Drosophila melanogaster: one gene and its partners. The protein of the gene in region 1 interacts with the protein of each later gene in a pairwise test. Each region holds a gene or a part of one and is shown in the gene's direction. Other genes may lie near its edges.

The links.
Region 2: the proteins of ck (region 1) and Cam interact in binary tests that used the Drosophila melanogaster proteins (3 or more experiments, as listed by UniProt).
Region 3: the proteins of ck (region 1) and Cad99C interact in binary tests that used the Drosophila melanogaster proteins (3 or more experiments, as listed by UniProt).

Annotation. Positions count from the first base shown.
Region 1 is NT_033779.5:15,053,349-15,060,539, reverse strand, and holds the start of ck (crinkled), read left to right. Parts: upstream 1-2,677; 5' UTR 2,678-2,872; exon of another isoform or gene 2,873-3,035; intron 3,036-7,017; 5' UTR 7,018-7,108; coding exon 7,109-7,126; intron 7,127-7,191. Other genes in the region: TfIIS (RNA polymerase II elongation factor), read left to right, coding at 42-107, 174-1,049; CG33679 (uncharacterized protein), read right to left, coding at 1,653-1,808, 1,872-2,237. UniProt on the Drosophila melanogaster protein: Myosins are actin-based motor molecules with ATPase activity. Unconventional myosins serve in intracellular movements: can function in cells as a single-molecule cargo transporter.
Region 2 is NT_033778.4:12,256,565-12,263,728, forward strand, and holds the start of Cam (calmodulin), read left to right. Parts: upstream 1-2,833; 5' UTR 2,834-2,894; intron 2,895-3,467; exon of another isoform or gene 3,468-3,475; 5' UTR 3,476-3,621; coding exon 3,622-3,624; intron 3,625-3,711; exon of another isoform or gene 3,712-4,249; intron 4,250-7,164. Other genes in the region: Vha36-2 (vacuolar H[+] ATPase 36kD subunit 2), read left to right, coding at 791-1,315, 1,391-1,987. UniProt on the Drosophila melanogaster protein: Calmodulin mediates the control of a large number of enzymes, ion channels and other proteins by Ca(2+). Among the enzymes to be stimulated by the calmodulin-Ca(2+) complex are a number of protein kinases and phosphatases.
Region 3 is NT_033777.3:29,839,144-29,845,994, forward strand, and holds the start of Cad99C (cadherin 99C), read left to right. Parts: upstream 1-2,513; 5' UTR 2,514-2,647; intron 2,648-3,581; exon of another isoform or gene 3,582-3,730; intron 3,731-6,455; 5' UTR 6,456-6,460; coding exon 6,461-6,617; intron 6,618-6,851. UniProt on the Drosophila melanogaster protein: Cadherin that functions in epithelial morphogenesis and the intestine epithelial immune response. Essential for female fertility. Regulates the length and organization of apical microvilli in developing follicle cells and salivary glands.

The DNA of each region.
Region 1 (7,191 bases):
CGCCAGTTAACCTAACCTCTGATCAAATTAAGTGGGCCAAAATGAGCGTGGAGGAGGAAGTGTTTCGAATCCAAAAGAAGATGAGCAAGATGGCCAGCGACGGCACAGTAAGTATCGGGATTAGCTAACGTGCCGCGCATCATGTCACAAATATACATATATCCACCGTACAGGGACAGGATCAGGCTCTGGACCTGCTGAAGGCCCTGCAAACGCTTAACATCAATCTCGACATTCTGACCAAAACGCGCATCGGCATGACCGTAAACGAGCTGCGCAAGAGTAGCAAGGACGACGAGGTGATCGCTCTGGCCAAGACGCTGATCAAGAACTGGAAACGATTCCTCGCCAGCCCGGCGCCAACCACACCGAACAACAGCTCCGCTAAGGAGGGCTCCTCCAACAACAGCAGTGCCTCGAAGTCCACCAGTGCCGCCAAGTCGTCGTCGTCAATCTCCGGCAAGGATAAGTCCAGTTCATCCAGCTCATCCAAGGATAAAGAGAAGAAAGGCTCGACATCCTCGTCACAGACCTCGTTTCCCTCCGGCGGCATGACAGATGCGGTCCGCATCAAATGCCGCGAAATGCTGGCCACCGCACTGAAGATTGGTGAAGTGCCCGAAGGATGCGGTGAGCCGGAGGAAATGGCCGCCGAACTGGAGGATGCCATTTACTCCGAGTTCAATAACACGGATATGAAGTACAAGAATCGCATTAGGTCACGCGTGGCCAATCTGAAGGACCCCAAAAATCCTGGATTGCGAGGCAACTTTATGTGCGGCGCCGTCACTGCCAAGCAGCTGGCCAAAATGACGCCGGAGGAGATGGCCAGCGATGAGATGAAGAAGCTGCGCGAGAAGTTCGTCAAGGAGGCCATCAACGATGCCCAGCTGGCCACCGTGCAGGGCACCAAGACCGATCTCCTCAAGTGCGCCAAGTGCAAGAAGCGCAACTGCACCTACAACCAGCTGCAGACTCGTTCCGCCGATGAACCTATGACCACCTTCGTCATGTGCAACGAGTGCGGCAACCGATGGAAGTTCTGCTAACTCCCAAAATTGTTCCAAAATATAAATCAATCCCAAATGAGCACACACCACACATCCTTCATATTCTTAAATGAAACATTGTAAAGACACGACACGCGAGAAAACATTTTGTATCTGCTGCCCAACTGCGGAGGCGTTTACTCTGACCACCTAAACCTTAAACGAGAGAAAAGAAATTTCAATAAACATTAACTATTGATAAAACGGAGACGTCTTGTTGCCGCAATCAGTTTTTTAAAAACGCCGGTGATAACGACCACGCTGCTGATAACTCGCCGATAACACAGCGGGGCGATAAATTGAGCATTGAGCAAAGTAAATATGAATACATTATAAATATAACTCAGAATGATCTAGCAGAGAAGTAAATAAGACGCCATATTGTGTATGTATTCTCGAAGAGTATTAACAACCGATGTAATTAGTCAGTTTTAAAGCAATTTGCATTAACGAACTTTGTATTGCATTAAGTATAGAAGTCGGAACGGGCCAGATCGGACAACTATATCATATAGCGGGCATAGGAATAATTAAAACATTAACGCAAAATAAATATGTGTTCGTTGTGTTAGATCCATTAGGTGTTCTAATGTTTTGTTCATCTTAGTCAACGTCAATTTCAAAGTGGATGTTTATGATGGAAATCCAGTTCACGACACCATCATCCATTTCGAGGGTTAACTTATAGCTACCCTTTGGTAATGGGACCTTGGCAAACATACGATCATCCAAGGTGCAGTTCCTTATGTAAATATCATCCTTAAAATATATATTTTAATATGATTTAATATGATTGTCATATTGGCGAAACTAAATACTTACATTATAGGGACATGTATGATTAATATTGGAAAAGGGCATAAAGGCGGTGTAGAAATAGTAGAAGACTCTGAGACGATTTGGATACCTTAGGACGCGACAGTGTTCCTCGGAAACATTAAATAGAAACGGATGGTATCCGTTTAGCTTCCGGTAAGTGATGAATCTCACGACCATCCTATTTATTGGCAGTTTCAGAAGCTTAACGTGTATGTTGGCTCCGATAATTCCCCTGCCAAGCACTTTTAGTCGGCATTCGGGAAAGACGACGAATGATTTGTCATAGCTTTCGCACTTGAGGTTCGTGAGGCGCACGTATCCATGGGATTCTCCAATGAAAAGTAAGCTGATCCACAAGAGGTACTTCATCAGGGCAAATAGTCTGGATGTAATGACCACTCTACGCGATGGTGGAGTACTGGTTTCCAAAAATATAATTACTGATGGGGCATAATTAGATTTTAATTACTACTTATCGCAGTTCGTATAAATAATTAGGTAATCAACAAACCGCTTCAATGAGCTAATATGACGACATGTTTAATATATTGACATAGAAAAAAGATATTTCTTGAAAAATGCAATAGCTTATGACAGATATTTTGAAATGCGCGCCGAAATTAGGCAGGTCGATAAATTTGGGTAAGTAATGCTTATTTTTATCGATGCTATCGGAAGTCTATCGATCGGACTGCTTACGCGGCAATGTGACCATATAAGCGGTTTTCAAATGAACTGTAATGTTAACTCGTTAGCATACCACGATTAGTAATCCGCGCATTTTTTAGGCCATTCGCAACTGGCCCCACCACCTGGTCACTCTTATTGATCAGTTTATCGGTTGTTATTTTTCGCTTCAAGTCTTGTCTTCTCGGCGAAAAGAAAAACAATAAACAAATCGCACAGCCCCAAAATGATCAGTGGTCTGTAATCCACCTGTTGCTCGGCTTAACTGTGCTGGAAAAGCGGACTTTCGGCGCGCTGCTCTATTCCTGCGACTGCTGGTGCGTGACCTATTTATGTAACCTGTTTTTGAAAAAGAACATCCCGCTTTCGACGGGTCTGGAAAAGTGTTAATTAAACGGTCGTGGCGAGAGCGATTCCAATTAGAATTCGAATTCGGTGACCGAAAAGCGGAGAGTGCAAAATTCTGAGGCGGCAATTAAGGTAGAGAGTGATTGGAAAAAAGAAAAGAAATGAAACGAAACTAAAAGAAAAGAGTGCATTAACCCTGCCAAGCGGTCTGTGTAAATGTGTGTCTGTTTGTGGCTAGAAAAGCCAGTGGGGAAAATGACAAGGGTCACAGCATCGGTTCAGTGTAACATCATCGATTTTATTGCATTTCCAGACGGAGACGTGGCTGCATTGCATTTTTATTGCTTTAGGCGAGTGACCAAATTAAATAGCTACGCTTCAGGTTTCGTTGGCTAGAACGGTACTAACATGCACACTACAAGCGCAGCCCCGCTCTCTCGCACGCACACACGGACAGGTACACCTGCCGAGGAGCTGCAGAGCGAGCGAGAGGGAGAGATGCGTAAAGAGCGGCTCACAGTGCAACACATTCAAGGGTGCTGCTACCGTCTCCCCCTCTGCCACGTACCTTTCCCACCCGCTCTCGACAGTGCGCTCTCTCCCTCTCATTCTCCTTGAGCTTGAACCAGGCTTCCACACTGAGAAATAAACGATGTCAATTTAAAATGATTTGAATAGTCTTTTATGGAATTACGTGCGTAAACCTTAAAACAGTGACTAAGTGTGTTTTATTAATCAGTTGAAAACGTTTTTTTTTATAATCTATCATTATGATTATGAAAAATATACATATATGAAATACTTTTACTGTGTAAATCTAATCTAATCAGAGTGTACTATCATTAATTGTTTATAAATTTCAAACATTCAAGTTAAATATTTGTATATCCCATTTACATAAATTTGCATAAATACAAATCGATCATGAAGCGTCTGCTTTTTCTTGCAGTTCAGCGGTCAAGAGTTCTGAAATTGACAATAACAACAAAAACGCAGGCACACTTGTTTGTCCGGTTTGTTGTTTTTGCTGTTGCACAACGGGACATTTCGTGTGTGGACAATTGGAAAACCCTTTTTCAAATAAACGCTTTTCATTAGCCGGTTTTTGTTTCTTCTCTCCCATCTCAACCTTTTTTTTGCGTTTCCATTTGGGTTGTTGGGCTGTTTTTGTTTTTGTTGTTGCTGGGGGCTTTCGCGCACGCAGCGACTTTCTGTTTGTTTGGTGAAACTTTTTTAAGGTCTTCTCTAAATACATAATAAAAAAAAAATGAACATAATACTTTGCCCATTTTTTATTTTTGTTGTTGTCGCTGGTGAGTCGTTAAATTTTGTAGAAGATTTCAGTTGTTAAACCAGAAGCAAATTGTGTGAACAACAAACGAAGTTTTGCGAAAAAGAATTTTGTTAGCAATGCTAGTAATTATGGAAAAAGTTAAAAAAAAATTCTACAACTAACGGTGTTTTTTAAATTTAAATCATTTACAAGTTCACATTAATAACAAACACTTTATAATTTAAATTTGAAAAGGTCTAAAGGCAACATATAATCAATATTTTTGTAAAATAAGTAATATTATAAATGTTCAAATGAATTGAAAAAGTGCATTTGCTCTTAAATTTAAGAATCGTTCGCATTCCATAGACTTTACTACGGATTTATTATTAGCCATATTATCTTGAGAGCTATAATTCAAGTGACCAATAAAACAATATGGGTTTAACTAAAGTGCTCCAATTAACGTATAAGTAAAGTGAAACCTTATAGGATTATTATTGCATTTTTTGTAAAATAAGACGAATATGAATTTTTCAGATAGGAAATGTTTTTATGCCACAAATTGCTCAAAGATGACAACAACATGATGTCAAGTGTCAAAGTCAAAGTGAACAAAAAGTGGTTGTATTAAACAATTGGTATGAACGCCATACATACTTTTATATGTACATATGTTTATAGATAATATATGGCCGAGTGTCTGTATGTAGTGTAGAGTAGATGGCATAAACCGTAATTGTACGTGGCTGCCACACACGAACTTTCACTAATGACTCTCGATGAACTTTTGGATCACTCACTAAAAACGCACTCTCTTACTTATAGACATATATACATGCAGTACATATACATACATATGGTTACCATATATATGCACTTAGATACGTGCCAATCGTTCGTCACTGAGTCCACTATCACTACCATTCGATGCTAAATCTGCAGAGCCGGAAATTCTTAGACGCTCTTTGCTCGATTCTATAAGTTTTTTAATCGTTTTTGGTCATGCCCAGAGATACAAATGTCTGCCTCACACCTCGATTTACACCTTGTTTGATGTTTCGCTTCTTATCGCTACTTGCACTGCAGGGAAATTCTGATAACAGCAGGTACGGCAATTAGGCAATCGTTTTTAAATAATTCAGTCATGACTGTGCTTAGTCTAAGTGCTCTCTTCAATTTGAAAACAGTTGTGGATTGAGTACCAAAAAAAGATTAAAATACGAATATAGATACGTTTACCTAAAAAGCAATCCTTAAGATACAAATAGAGTTCCCAATAAATGAAACCTTTTCCGCGTTCTACAGTTAAGTACTTGCGGAAAGAGGGGATTTAGATGACAATGAGGGCATTAAACTATTAAATTGGGTGCTGATAACAGGACAACGAGTATTGAGCAATATTACTTAATACATGTATGTATGTCTTAGTTAAATGTTTGAACTCCAGCCGACAATTGAGGTCGCTATATGGTTGTGGTTCGAGTGTGGATCGCGGATAGATGGGTTCCCTATGTGCACTAGACTCGTATTTTGACCGGCAGAGCGTAACCAGACTGGTATGTGTACGAGTATACGTGCCGCCGTGTGCCACTAAATTTGGTTGCTCCGTAGCTGTTGCTGCTTTATTTTTTTTTTTGTCTGGCATGTTGCAATTACCGTGGAGAGGAGAGACGCCTCCCAATGAGTAACTACACTACGGCTGATACCATGCCACACTATACTATACCTGTGCGGAGGCAGCCGTTAGTCCATGTGCTAAATGATGGATGGGGTGTCCAATTGAAAGGCGGCTTCGATGGCAACCGACTGGGAAATGACGCCAGCTTGAAACTCTGATTCATGACTGGTTTCGGAAATTAAGTAGTTCGCTTAAAAAAGCCGATCTACATGTTGATTAGATGAGTTTTTCCGGAATTCTCTAGATTAAATGATTAAACTAAAGAATTATGGTTGTAATCGGACTCTGTAATCAGCGCTCATTTGCTCACTTGTAATCCGGTGCTAAAACTGGTTACTATAATTGCAATGTTTATTTTCTTTAGTTCTAAAGATCATATTTAAAGGTGGAATTTTCACCAACGATAACCTGTCAGTGGCGCAACACATTTCTAATTTCTTTTCGTAAATATCTAATTGAAGATGGTTTAGTTTTCTATCGCCTTAAATCGAAAACATTGTTTAGCTACTGCCAGGCCGTACAAAGTAATGAAAGTAAATTTTTTCAATGAAAACCAAGCAATTTGCATAACAAACGCAGCTCATTGAGACCTTCGATTTCGGTTAGACCCTCTTTTTCGGTTGGTTCTTGTGGCCAAAACTGATTGTTTGAAGCGACCGAAGCTCAAAAAGTGAAAATAGTTGGATGGCCTTTTTTGCATGTCTAAAGGTGTAAAGGTTTATTTACTTTTTTTATAGGATTTTCGGTCACGTATCAATTCGTTTGGATCGGGCTGTTTTCCCTTAGTTTAAGAAGAAAAGAAGTATCGAAAGTATGAGTTTTATGAATGCATTTAAGCCTGATGACTAATTCGCTGTTGATTTTGTGTTGTTAATGAGTTGCCACTTTTGCTGGCTGTTGGCTGGAGTGTGTTGGCCAAATCGAGGAAAGAAAGACGTTTACCTCGAGCTAGGAAAGCGATTTGATAGCAAGAACAACAAAAAGAAGACGACGGACCACAAACGAAGACAGCGACAAGTTGTGAATTCTTTCAATTTACCGTAAACTTCACCTTAATTTTTTCTACTATTCGAAGCCGGTTTTTGTTGCCGCAGGCGCTAACTCGTATTTTGTTATTGTTGCTCATGGCCAACTCTTCCACTTGTTCTCTCTTTCGGCAGAGAAGAATATAACCCAAGCGGCAGCAGCGAAAAGGAACGGGCCATTGTCCCTGGATGCCAACACAGGATCAGTAAATGAAGGACGACGAACATGGTGATCGTAACACGTGTAAGTATTTCACTCACCATTAGCCCCCGCAGTGGAGGTATCACTCCTCTTATCGAGCCACTCCA
Region 2 (7,164 bases), on another chromosome or scaffold:
ATCGCCGTCCAATGGTGTCCAGTGGCCAACTGTCCAATGGGCAATGTGAAATCCCAGTGGAATGGTCAAACGTTCCGCATTGTAATTGCACACACACACGCATTCGCTGGTTTGCCGATTTGTGGACATTATCTTTAGCACAAATAACAAATGTATTATATGTGAATGATTCCATTTTCTAGGGATTAAGCTAATGTAAATTAAAACATCATTTTCGAGAGCTAAATAAAAATGCTGTTTTAAATATCAGGCATAGATAAGGCAACGTTGCGTATGCGTAATTTTCCATAGGCAACTATGCGTATGAGTAATTTAAAATGATTTTGGCGGATCAGGAATTTGTTTGGTATTTTTTTTTTCAATTATAGGGTTAACAATTCATTTAACTGATTGATAAATAGTTTAATTAGTATAATTACAGCCTAAAATAACTATTCATTTCTAATTCTTATTTTGGCAAGCACTAAAATTTCTTATTCATACAAAATATTTATAATATACACCACTGCATTCACTATACAAATTGAAAGTTTTGATAAGCTCGAAAAGAATTCAAGGGAGTAAATTTGTTGACTTTTTGCCGATTGAGTCATAAAATCCCAGCTAATTCATAGCACTCTTCCACAATTTTCATATTTATTCCATAAGCATTTGAAAACCTCTTATAAGCGTGGTTTTAAAAATATACATATGTTTTTATACTCACATCAGTAATTCGTTTGTAACAAAGTCTACAATTCGGCCAAATTCAAACTCTACGTGATCAGAGTCCAATTCCAAAGTCACCGCCATGGCCAAACGCGATATCCTGCCCATCTTTCCATCCCGCGCCAATTCGGTGATCATGAAGCAGCGCGTTTTGGCGGCTAGAAGGGGCGTGGGTCTCCTCAAGCGGAAGCGGGACGCCATCGATATGAAGCTACGCGAATTGCGTCGCATCCGCTTCGACCAGGACATGCACGGCGATGAGGCGATGCGCAATGCCATATTCTCGATGGCAAAGGCCAATCTTCTGGGCGCCGATTTCAAGCCGCAGATGGTAAGCCGCAGCCACGTGGCAACCGTATCGCTACGCCGCACGGAGATCAAAATTGTGGGCGTCAAGCTGAACACCCTGGAGCTGGAGACGAAGGGCGTGGGCGCTTTTCCGCTGGCTGGTCTCAGCTGTGGCGGTATGCAAGTGAGCCGAATCAGGGACTCCTATACGAAGGCACTCAAGGCACTGGTGGAGTTCGCCTCTCTGGAATACCAAGTGCGAATGCTGGAGGCAGCCTCGTTGCAGACCAACATGAGGGTCAATGCTCTGGAGCATGTGGTAATTATAATTAATTCATATGATCCATATGTTATCATGGATAATCTTCAATAAATATCACTTTGTATCCGCAAGGTAATACCCATCCTGCAAAATACCTATAACTATATATGCGGCGAGTTGGAGGAGTTCGAGCGCGAGGATTTCTATCGCCTGAAACGCTCCCAGGCGAAGCAGCTGGAGGCCAAGATGGCCTTCACCGAGCTGATCAAGACCAAGAACATGACCGACGAGGAGCTGGAGACCTACATAAAGCGAAACATAAATCAGACGCGTCCTCCAGCGGCCGACACACCCTTCGATCAGGAGCAGTTCGAGGAGCGTGAGGTGAAGCGGCGCATGCGGGAGGCCCGTCTGTCCCTAAAGCAGCGCCGCGAGCAGGAGAGAAAGGAGGCCATCAAGCGGGGCGAGCCCCCACCGCCCACATCCTTCATCACCACCCACGGAGCCTCGTTGAGTTTCGCTGGTCGCCAGCGGGATCCGCGAGCCAGCAGTGGTGATCTGTACAGCACCAAGCGGATGCTCCTCTCCTCCGGACCGGAAAGGAAGTCCGCCAGTAATGTGACCGAAAGGAAGTCCGATACTCCTCCGCGTAATAGCCAGGAAACTCAGCGCAGATCCAGCCAGATGTCGAAAGATGTCGTAAATGAAGATCCACCCGAAGAAAGTTAGTTAATCGGACTCACAAATCCAAAATCTAAAGTTGTCCAAAAATTCTTAATTATTTTTAATATGGTGTGCAAATAGAAGATTTATTTTAGGTGATCACTTCGAAAAAGTATAGCAATTTCAGTCGAAAATCGAAAAATATATGGAAAAATTTACCGTCATTGTTATTAATAACGTATACGTATGTAATTTCTGTCTGCTGTATAATATACATGTGTATGTGTGTATGTTAATTCCCCATCATATGCAATGGCAAATGCTATATGTTTGCAACAGCTGACTTTACAGTTCGTTTTTTTTTAACATCGAATGTTAGTTTAACATTTACGTTAACATTTATCCGTTAAGAATAAAATTTGCAACATTTTGAAGTATATTTTTGTCAATTAAAATTTGAACTTAAAAATCGAAGAACTGTTTACATAAACATAAATCACAACCGGTAATTAGAATAAACGGACAATAAAAAAGACATTTGTTTATATAGATGTACATATGTGAGTACATACATAGTTGATTCATTTTTTTCTATTACTGCAAGGGCAAACCTATGCATAAGTTTATTTTTGCAGAAGCTAGCTTCCTATTATTTATAACTTTAGTTACCTGTAGTATGTTGATACAATTTTTGTACACACCTATTTTCGCGAAAAGCGCCGGCGCGACCGTTACAACGGCGAAATCAAACTTATTTTCGCTTTACGAAGGTGAGTGGATAAGCAACAGAAACAAACACATGCAGACGCTGCCGCTGCAAAAGCGAACTTACCCGGTTCGTTCTCGCGAGAGCGAGAGCGGTTATTGCTATTGCTGCTGGCAAAATAAAACCGTATATATGGCGACGCAGCGCTATTTTGAACACAAAGTTTTGAGTCGTCGACCGTTGCGGACGGAAATTCAGATTAGGATCGTGAGTTGTCAGAACAAACAGACCAGACATTGCATATAGAGAGCAGTATTGGGCCAACAAAAAAAAAAAAAAAATACAAAAAAAGCGAAAAGAGCCCACACCCAAGCACCAGGAGCTGCGAACGTTTCGCGGAAAAGCCAATTTCTCAGCGCCAGCCAAAAATCAAGAAAACCAACGAGCAAAAAATTAAACAAATATCTTTATAAAAACCGAATTCGAGCAACTCTTATATGTATTAGCTCTCCCCGCCATATATCTACTATATAAACGAGAATTCTGCCGTGTGCGCGCGTGTGTTTGGCATATTTCGCACAATAGATGAAAAAAAAAACGAATGAAAGCCACAAAAAAATAAAGAAGAAACGCAAGGCGAAAATTTGTATTAAATTCGGCTGAAGCAACAACACTAAAGAAATTTCAGAAACTGCCACGGCGAGAAAAAAAAGCGTCGGCGTCGGTGCTTTGGACGGACGCTTTTCTTTCTCTCCAAGCTGGCAGTAGTTTTTCTCCTCAGCCTCTTCCACCTCCAGTTGACCCCCCGAAAGTAATACCCAACAAACCTCTTCTTGCTTCTTTTGCAGTGTGTTAATTTAGTAAAATATAAAGTTAACCGCGCGTTCCGTAATTCCACTCACACACATACCAACACCCAAGCAGCAGCAGTAGCCGCAGCGGATTAAAACTTCGTCACTCTAGCAACAAACAGAAAAAAAAAACACCTACAAAAATGGTAAGTTTATGGGGCTGGAGAACATGTGCATCTTTATTTTCTGTTTACACAACCTGCGGCCATCATTTTCCATTGAAATTTCCACAGTTTTTGCGAAAAATCAAAGTCAGACAGCGACCCCCAGGGCTATTGCCATTAGTGCGAGCGGGAGGAGCGAATCGCTTCCAATTAGACGTTGTTTATATGGTTTTAACGGCTTTTCACACACACACACTCGCTACACACATCCCAGCACACCAAACACCCCGTCGAAAAGCAGCTGTCCCCGGGAAATTCGTTTACATTTTGCACCCCAAAAATATATCGCCTCACGGGTAGAAAAAACCAGTTTTTTCAACAACCCAATATCGTTGATTTAGAAACAAGAAATTGCGAACACCATGCAACCCCTTGAAAATATGGTAGTTTATACCCCTTTCACAATGAAACATAATCAAAATCCATAAAACTGCATTGAGAAAAAGTGAATGCAATCATTTGAAATTAAGTTTATACTTAAACTAGTATATTTAAGCTGCAAGATTTTCATGTTCTTAACCTGACTTAATCAAATGTTCAACTTTGGCCCCTAGGGTCACAGAAAACAAGCAGCACAATTAAATAGCAATGCCAATAGCAAGAATTTACACACATGTCACGTCACTCGTCAAAATTATTATTTATTTTATCAAGGCTGTCGCACACGGAATGTTGACGCGATCGGGTTCGCCCTATAATAATTCCATGACGTTCGGGTAGAAATACCCCTGGAAACCCAATCAGGCGTGGAAAAGTGGAAACTCTTATCAGCATCTCGAGCAACACCTCATTTTCGAAGCCCCCCTGCTTGCCCAACCCACCACCACCATTTGGGATCATAAATCAATGTGATTTTAGCCAATTTGTTGAGCATTTATGCACACACACACTCGCATTCCTACATAGACGCGTTGCCATCGGCACTTTTATCAGCAATTTTTCAAAGATCCCCGCAAATAATAGAAAAGCGCCCTCCATTTTGCTTATCAGTGGAAAATGTGTGAATATATATTGATGATGAACAACAAAGTCGCCGGTCCCGGCATTATTGGCCTCTCCTCTTTGCCCCGCCGTTCGTTGTTCGCTTGTTCTTTGCTTTCTGGTTGTATTTTTTATTTACCGCACACTTGGCCGCAAAAATTGAGGTTAGACACGGCCCCATGGAAATGGTGAAAAAATTCTTTAGAGGCATTTCTCCTGCTCTTGCGCTCAGCTTAACCGTTTCGACGCTCTCTCGCATAACCGTTTCACACACTTTCTCGTCTCTCTCTATGTGCAATTATTTCGTTTGCGTTATCAGTTCCGTTTTGTGCTGCGTCTCTCTCTTTCCGTTTCTTTCAGCATTTCATTTTTTTTTGCGCCTTGCGCTTGTCACTTTTATCGGCGCCTGCCTTTTCTTGTTTTCTTCCATAACCGTTTCATTTGCCGCATTGCGGTTATTTTGCTGTTTCGCCTTCGCCTTGGTTCGTCCGCTTCGGTCGTTCATTCGTTCGGCTCCGCGTATTCGTATTCGTGTGCGTGTGAGTGAGCGTATGGGTGTGTGTGTTGGCGGCTGCCTGTTCCACTTTGCCTTTTCGCGCAAGAATTTTATTGTAACGGCACAGGCGAACGATGGGGGAGGAGGAGCGCTGCAAATGAAGAAAAATTCCTGCTAGACGCCGCCGCTTAACCACATAATCCAATTTTCTTGCCGCCCTCTTTGCGCTTTCTTCTCTCGTTCGTTTGCTTTCCTCTGCGCTTTTTGATAAGAAAGCCCCACGCCCACTGCGATGCCCACACCCGCGCCACACCTTCTTTCAGCCTCATCTGGTGTCGCCTAATTTAATTAGCGATTTTACAGCTCACGCAGAATGCAAACAGCTTTTAATTAAAATATATCGCATCGCTTTCTACGTGGCCAATTTGTTTCAGTGATTCAACCAACGCTGCTAACTTGGCCCAGAAGCAAACATTTGCCAAGGGTTTTACTGACTGATCTTCAAAGTTTGTTGATCTTTAGCTCGGCTAATTATGAGATACGTTTGTCTGTATATCTTATTTGTTTCCGTTGAAAATGAGCCAACATTCATATAAATTTCCATGAGTCACTGTGTTCCTGGGCTGACTTCATCATATGATCATATGGCCTATGATGAATGCCCGATGATATGTGTGTGTGTCATGTTAATAATGGCAAATGACTGGCTTATGGCTCAGTTAGCACAGTTGTTTGGATCCCGGTGCGAATGCACTTAAATTGTACCCAAAAACCAAGCTCTCAATCTAACCGTCATTCATAAAACCAAACTAAACTCCATGAAACCGGTTGAGACCGGCAAAAAAAAAAAAGCGTCGGCTATACAACGGTAAACCCGGCAAACTTGGCTTTAACATAAAGCCGCATAATTTCAGCCAAGACCTGTTTTAATGTTGTATTTAACTGTCAAACTCATTGGAAGAAATAGTTTTATTCAGCAGAACTCGTTTGTGAATTTATAAATGATTCAAGCCCAAGTGTATTAAAATTATTGTTATCAAAATGTATTCATAAGTATGAATAATATTTGATATCATATTATTTGCAAGTGAAAAGTGATGATCTTGAACTAACTACTATACAATGACCCATCCAATGAGTCACTACCTTAAAAAATGACGGACAAATCCCGATAAATATACGCACAGCTTGAGTCCTGATCCCCCAGGCATACATTTTCGGAAGGCACTGTATTTGCCTTGGATGTGGAAGCTTCCTCGGGACGTCGTGGGCGTCTGATTGTGCATACAAATGGATTACCAATTAGGCATTAGCCAGCCCCCCACTCGATTAACGACCTCGCCCGATTGACTGCCATTAATGGATATCATCGGTGGGTGGGGTTTTGCTCATGTTGTTGATTGCAAATGTCGCCATTTGAAGACAGGAGGGCTTCAATTTGCTTTTCAACAGATTGGGGATCTGCATTTCGATGGGTGTTTCTCATTCGGTTTCTGTTTCTGGCTTAGTCATGCTTGCCAATGACATAACCCAGTTGAAAAGCGTTTTATCTGCCCCAGAGTACGCCAAGATAAGCTGGGCAAATTCAATTGAACGCCAACGCGACAAAAAGTGCAAATAAAACAGGTGCCACCAACGCGTTGCCGTTACCAAATTTGCTTGTATTCGCTGTTTAAACTCACCGAAATTCCCCCGATTAGATAAGGTCAAGCAGGGCGCTATAATTCCAATGCCAATTGCTGATTTGGCTTAAAGCGAGTGGGTTTCTGTTCTGTTCCATTTTCCTTGCCGAACGGAAGTTGTCCATAAAGGCTGGTCAACACGACATGTCTGAGAGCCAAGTTTGTTGTGCCATTTTTCAGATTTGGGGTATCTTTTGGCCTTCAAGTTGAGGTGCCCAATTCGGTGGTAACCAAGGCGATTGATTAGATAGGGCGAATTGGTTCGTGCTAGGGAAATTCACATAAATTAACTTGGTTTTCAACAGTTCAGAGTAATAAGTATAGACTAGATTGGCAGTAGCTATTATTAAACGAAGCAAATTA
Region 3 (6,851 bases), on another chromosome or scaffold:
TCCGTTTCGAACTTTTCTGCTGACCGCAACTGTGCACACACACTCGCCCTGCCATCTGTTTATATATGTATATATTGTATATATGTTCTGGCCTGGCCGAAACTGATCTGGGCAAAGTGATTGTTCGGTCCGGCAGCTAGGCATCTTTTGGTTATTTGGTGCGCATTGGTCCCAAATCGAATTGCTGCGACTCTGGGCTGCAGCTCGGAACTGCTGGCCAGGAATAGGAATGCGGCATGCAGTGTGGAGAGTGGAGTACTTGTGGAGCAATTAAGCGGACCAGGAATGATTTACCCGGCCAGGCAAAAGACAAAACGAGAGCATGTGAGGGGCAGAACAATGCAGTTTGGGACTGGGACTTGGCTTTCATAAAAGAAATTGGCGGCAATAAAAGAAATTATAAATTATAATTGCAATCATAAGACTGAGCTGCTTACGGGCAGAAGTGGAGCTCTGCCAAAGTGAAGTAATTTGAAACCAGGCGGTTTATTATTTGCCTTTATTAGTTCATTCGCTTTTTGCGCTGATAACGTAATATTTTTTAAAGCCAGCAGGTTGCATGTTTTTTTACTCGTTCACTGACTTGTTGCGCTTTTCCCACTTAACTTTTCTTCAAAGAAGTTAAGCCAGGAGCCAATAAAATCTAGTCTGCAACTGTCTGTTGGTAATATGGCTGAAATAAAGCATTTTCGAAACGATATTTGCTATGCACCACAATTTATTTTGCCTATGCTGCACCTGTCGTTTGTGCAATCGAAAATTCTCAGGAAGGCAAAAATGATTTTAAACTGGCTCAACCAGCAATTCGAGCTTTTGCGCATGGTCAATGCGAAACCTTACAGTTTTGGCTGACACATTTCGCTTGATACCTTCATATCCGGTACTCATGGAGCATATCAGCATATAGCTTGCTACTACCAAAAACATTTTGCAGAATCACAAGCAAATCTGTCTTGGCTACAACTCCAGTAGCAGCGTGTAACTTTGGGTCACTGAACTACACTTTTGTTAAATGTCAGCATAAATGGCTAAAATGAAATACACCTTACAAGCTCCTCCTAACCAACTTGTTCATAATCCAAAAACTTCCTGTTAGAGTAGCGAATTCAAACAGTTGGCACTTTGTTTTTTCGAACTTGACATATGTAAGCCGATCGGCAAATTATCGCGAAAATGGGCCATTCGAATCGTAAAAGTGATGACCAAGCCGGAAGAGCACAGACATTATGGTAATCCAAGAACCCCCAATAAATGTAGCAAGAAACTGCCTCTTTATAATAACGAAAGAAGCTAAGCCTTAATTAAATCCCAACCCAGTGGGATGCGGATTTGGCCAGGTGAGGAGCTAACAGCCAACTGGCTTGTTAGCAAACAGTAAAACGAGCTAATGACGTACATCTGCTGAAAACCCTTGCACTTTCTCCTCCAGCCAGTTGTGATGAAGATGGCAGACTCCCATGCGTTTAGCACCATGAAGATACTCCGCTAATAGCCATTTAGCACATGGCTTAATCTTACCGTACAGTTTGTGTGCCATATGAATATGCTATGTTTGCTATAATTAGGTGCTTTGACATTTCGAGAAACAAGATCTGCGCAAATTATCATATTTGGCTGATCCCATCGATCTGAGCAGCTTTCAATGCCAATATAACGATATTGGCTCAATTGTTCTGGCAGCATCCGGCTGGAAATGGAAATGGTGGTATTCGATGGTGGTGTTCGATGGAAACACCTACCCATGATGGCAATGCCAATTTCGCGGATTGCCAGCCAGCCGGGTGCAACTGTCTCATTGTCCCAGTACAATGGCAACGGAATATGCATATGCGACGACTCCCTGCCCGCCTGACAGGTACAAAAATGCTGTCTGCCCCTTTGGTGAACTTCATTCATGCCCCGGATCGCAGCTCGGATTGCATTGCATTGCAGTGGATTGCAGTGGATTGCAGTGGAGTGGAGTGAGCGGCCAAAATCGCGGCAACATCGACTAAAACATTTTAATAAAAACTTACACAGCAACGGCTGCAGTGCAGCTGAAACAGAAAAGCAAACACAAAGCGAGCGACAAGCCGAGCCGAAGCCCCAAAACTGGTTCCTGGCCTGGCTGGCTAACTCTAAGCCCGATCCACGGCTCCAACTCCTATGAAAATGCAACATGGTGGTCTCTTACATATTTACCTTTGACTTAACAGACGCTGTTAGCCGCTCGAGATTCTCTGTCCGCGCAGCATACACATATACATATGTACATAGCTGTGTATGTACATGCACCTGCAGATCGTGGATCGCAGTACCTGTGCTCCACAGCCGAAGCCTTTCGCATGTGTGTGTGTGTGTGTGTGTGTGTGTTTGAGTATGGTGTGGTATCCATCAGCTGGCAAACGAGTAACCCCCGAAAAACCAGTTTTACCGCAAAGCGAGCGAATGCCAGCTCAATTCCAATACGTTCCACCTTGGATCGGGTAGCGCCCACTTGTTGCCGCTGCTGCGCGAGACAGGTAAAGCGAAACAGTACCGATCCAACCGCCGAGCCGACACCACGTACCACGTACTTTCGCGCAGTGTAGCACGACGAGTATGAGCTTGTGCCCCAACGCAGCGCTATTGCTATAAGGTGGCTGGCGCGATACCGGTTTTCGAGCTGGTATGAATATGCCCAAGAGCTAATTTTTTAAGAGTTATCTCTCAAGAAAATGTGTAAAGTTCAGAATGGTCCGTTTGTGGCGACGTGTGATGTGTGGATGTGTGAGGTGTGTCCGGTGGATCCAAGGCAACCTAAAGCTGTAGCCATAGAAGCCTGAAAAGGGCATACCACGCAGATATCTCGAAATAGCGCTCCGTTTAAATAACAAAGAAGCCCCGAGAGGCAAACAAAGCCTTCACGCCATCATTAAATCTAAAAATCATACCTTTGTACACACCACTTTAACCCCCGAGAGCAAGACTTTCTCTTGCCAATTTTTCAGTTTTTTTGTTTACCCAACACAACTCACAGTGGAGTGAAAACAGAAAACAAACGAAACCATCATCGTTTTGCCGAATATCAAAGGATAGAACACTAATGTGGAATGTGAACGTGATCGCCGTATTAAGCAAATCGCATTTATCGACCGGGATTTCTGCGGCATTTGCCAAGAACCAAGAAACAAGCAATAAAACAGCCAAAAAAAACAAAAAAAAAACGGCAAATGAGGTCACGTATGTCGAGATTTGTGTAAGAAACTTACACAGTCGTGTTCACTGTACAGGCATACGTAGATAGTCATCGACTTGCCATGCTACTTTTACTACATGCTACCAAACTCCCACGCGCCGCTTTGTTCGCCAGCTTTTCGCGAAACATTATGGCTTATAATTAATCCAAGAGGGCAACCTCCAAACAGTAATTAAAATTCACTTCAGTGCGGCAAAACTCACTTCCAAGCCGGTGATCCGGTGATCATCAACTTCGAAATGATCAACTTCGGATTCAATATGAATTTTATGACAGAGAAATACATAAAATAAGTATTACAACACCTTCAAATTTGTGTCGCGAGTGTTTTTAATCGAGTTTAACCCTGTTTTTTAATGCGCAGATACAACATCTATTGAATAATATAGTAAATCGAAATGTAATTGAGGACCAAGAATAACCTTTGTTAACGGCGTGTGACTCCATTTTTCACGTTGGATACTCAGCTGAAATACTTTGAGCTGCTTTAATATTTAATCTTTAGACCAAACGGTAAGTGCGGAGTATTATTAGTATTATTATTATTAAATTATTCAGCATCCAAAGGCGGGGAGAAGCAAAATGATGAAATAATGTTCTTTTCTCCGGGCGGCGGAGATTAATCTTCATTTGGCTAAATGGCTAGAAGCCATTTATAAAGCAGAAAACATAATCACCTAACCGTTTTTTCTTCAGCGGAAAGTCAGGTCGATTAATTTTATTGTCACCCAAGAATTTGCAGTTCAATGTCTTTGGCCATCATCTAAATTCAAAGATTTGTTTTTAATTATTCTAAACTCAACTTATTTTGGCCAATTAAGACAATCATAATGGTAGAATGTTTATGTTACTCAGCAGTTGCTTAAGTTTCGTTAGACGTGTTCTCGATAAAAAGGCGAATCATTAAAATTAATCATCAGGAAAAATGATTCTCAGCAAATTGGCTCTAAGATACTTGTCGAGTTCATTAGAACGATTAGAATGTTAAAGCACTTTGAGTCATTAAACTCGACAAATGGCCATTTTGAAGACGATCATATATTTACTCCCACAGGAGTCATAAATATATGGACAGCCAAAATGAATGGCATAGATTGAGATACTTTATATGCTGATAGAATTCGATATATATTATGAAACATCTCACGGATCCGTGAGGAGAAATACTTTGTATGGCCAAGAGCGCGTCCTCTGTCCAATAAAATTAAAATACAATAAAACACTCAGCGAATTAGCATAACAATCGCAGTTGGAGCTGACAGAACGATGGTGTATACATGAATGTATGTATCCAGGTGATCCAAGTGATCCGAGTGATCATCCAGGGGAGCCGAGTGGCCAGGTGGACCAGGGTATGCCGCCATTCGGTGCCCAAATGCTGGCGTTCCTTTCTTGTTTATTTAAGATTTGTGTGGCAACCATCGTTCGCATTCCAGCAGATTTGAGATTTAAGTTCGCTACGTATTGTACCACATTCAAAACTAGAAAATGTTGGCAAAAACAGCATCAATAAGCAACAGGTTTGCCGCATATCGAATCTGCACCCAGCAGCACACAACACACACAACACACACAACACACACAACACACACAGTACACAGGCATTCAAAGCGATACCTCGGCTTTCGTTTATTTTGCAAACCAGTTTGGCACATTCGGCTTTTTCTATAAGTTTCCGGTTGAACATAATCAGCAACTGACTTTCTGTGGTGGCCACCGCCGAACTCCTCCTCTGGCTGCTCCTGCTCCTCCTGCTCCTTCTCCGATCTCCTCCAGCTTCGCGCCTTTGTTTATGCGGGGGAAATGGAAAATGGCATTTTGTGTACCGTCCAGTGAAAGCGGAGGACTTGCAGCGCTTTTCGCGATTTTCCCGATTTTCTCGATTTCCTCGCAAATGGAAGCAGGAACGGCACGACGGAGCATTTAAGCCCCCATATCAATACCATGTGATATCTCGCACTTAAGTTACGCAATGGGCGATCGGGGCTTTTATGATTTCGGAGATAATTTCAGCAGCAGTTGCGTTTGCAGACAAGTTTGATTCCACTCGCGATTGCAGCACACTTTGGCGAAATTAAATAAATCGTTGGGAAATCATGGGTATTTTGATTGGTTTATTTGGCTAATTGCGTAAATCGAATTGCAATTGGCCATCGAAGACAATAGTTGTCAGTGGCGGCTAAGGATAAGAGATCCATCAGCTTGGATTTTAATTGTCAGCCAATAGTTGAAATTCAATAATTCGCTTTGTTCATTAGAGCGCGCACTTTATTCCCCTATTTTATGAGTTTCGGTTAACCAGCACAACGGAACCCGGCTGCTCTGGACAGTGCTATCTATATCCAATGGATGCGATCGAGGAGGGAGCGCGAAAACCAGAAGATTAACTCCGATCCGTTTCATTAAACAAACGATCCGAGTAACGGATACGATGCAAGTGGCTCCTGGTGCCAACGAGTCTTCAATGGAGATCGCAGATGGAGCAGAAAGTCAGAAAGCTAGAAAGCCAACGGATGTGCAGAAACCTAAGCCGCAGCATGGGATGGCCAACTCCCAGCACCCAGCTCCCAACTCCCAAGCTCTTGGTTCTAACTGTATGCCAGCCGTAGCCGCAAAAGTTGATCGGCCAGTTGGCGAGCTGGCCATTTAGGCGCTCGATGAGATGAGGTGGGCAAAATGGGCAAAATAAGTGAAATGGGAGAAAGACGATAGAAATGGGAAGAATGGTAAAAATGGGCAGAATGTGCACCTGATCGCTGGGTACTCCGCGGGCTGGCTTGCCACTTTATTAGCCAATTTATGATGCCACCGTTATGAACTTCTCACTGTCAATATTGCCCCAGCCAAGTAGCTAGATCGGTTCGAACGGAACTGCTGAAGCTGTTTTCAATTTGGCCAGCAGTTTCGACACCAAGTTGGTATTGATTGGAGCTGCGGATCGGGGCATCTTGGATTTCCACAAGTCCATATACACACAACGTGCGCGGACAACGCCAAGTTGGCTAAATTGTTTATTGCATATTGATATCACACCATTTAAGGCAAGAGCAGCCGTCTTTGCATACAAAAGCAACCACAGTCTGGAGCTCCACTCGGCGGCGCTCTCCAGATTCGCTGTGTGGGCTCCACTAGCGTAGGCCAAGAAGTACTACATATTTAAATGGGGATCTTGGATAGATAGATAGATGTATGCATGCATGGAGTACAAGAAACGTATTTGTTTACTCTTATTTTACAGATAACATGGCCGCTAGGAACTCACTCACTCCACAGCAGGGACTGGGCTTCTTTGGGCTGCTAATCCTGCTCTGCTCGGCGGTTTTGGGCAAGTCGCAGATGTGCGAAGTGGAAACGGGGCAGACGAACATCATCCTGGACATCGAGGAGAGCCGGGAGTCTTGTAAGTACACCACCCTCCTTCTTCACTGGATTATACAATACATATGAAAATACAATAAACACGGCCGTGTTATCGACTAGCCAGCCCATTTAAGTCGTTTAACATGGCCTTAAACTGGAAATATGAGTTTCAAGACAACTGCGGCGTCAAATCTATTACGTGGATGCTAAAACATGAATGGCCATATGCTTCTCAGCCAAAATGCTCTGCGGCCAACCTCGACTTCAAGATCAT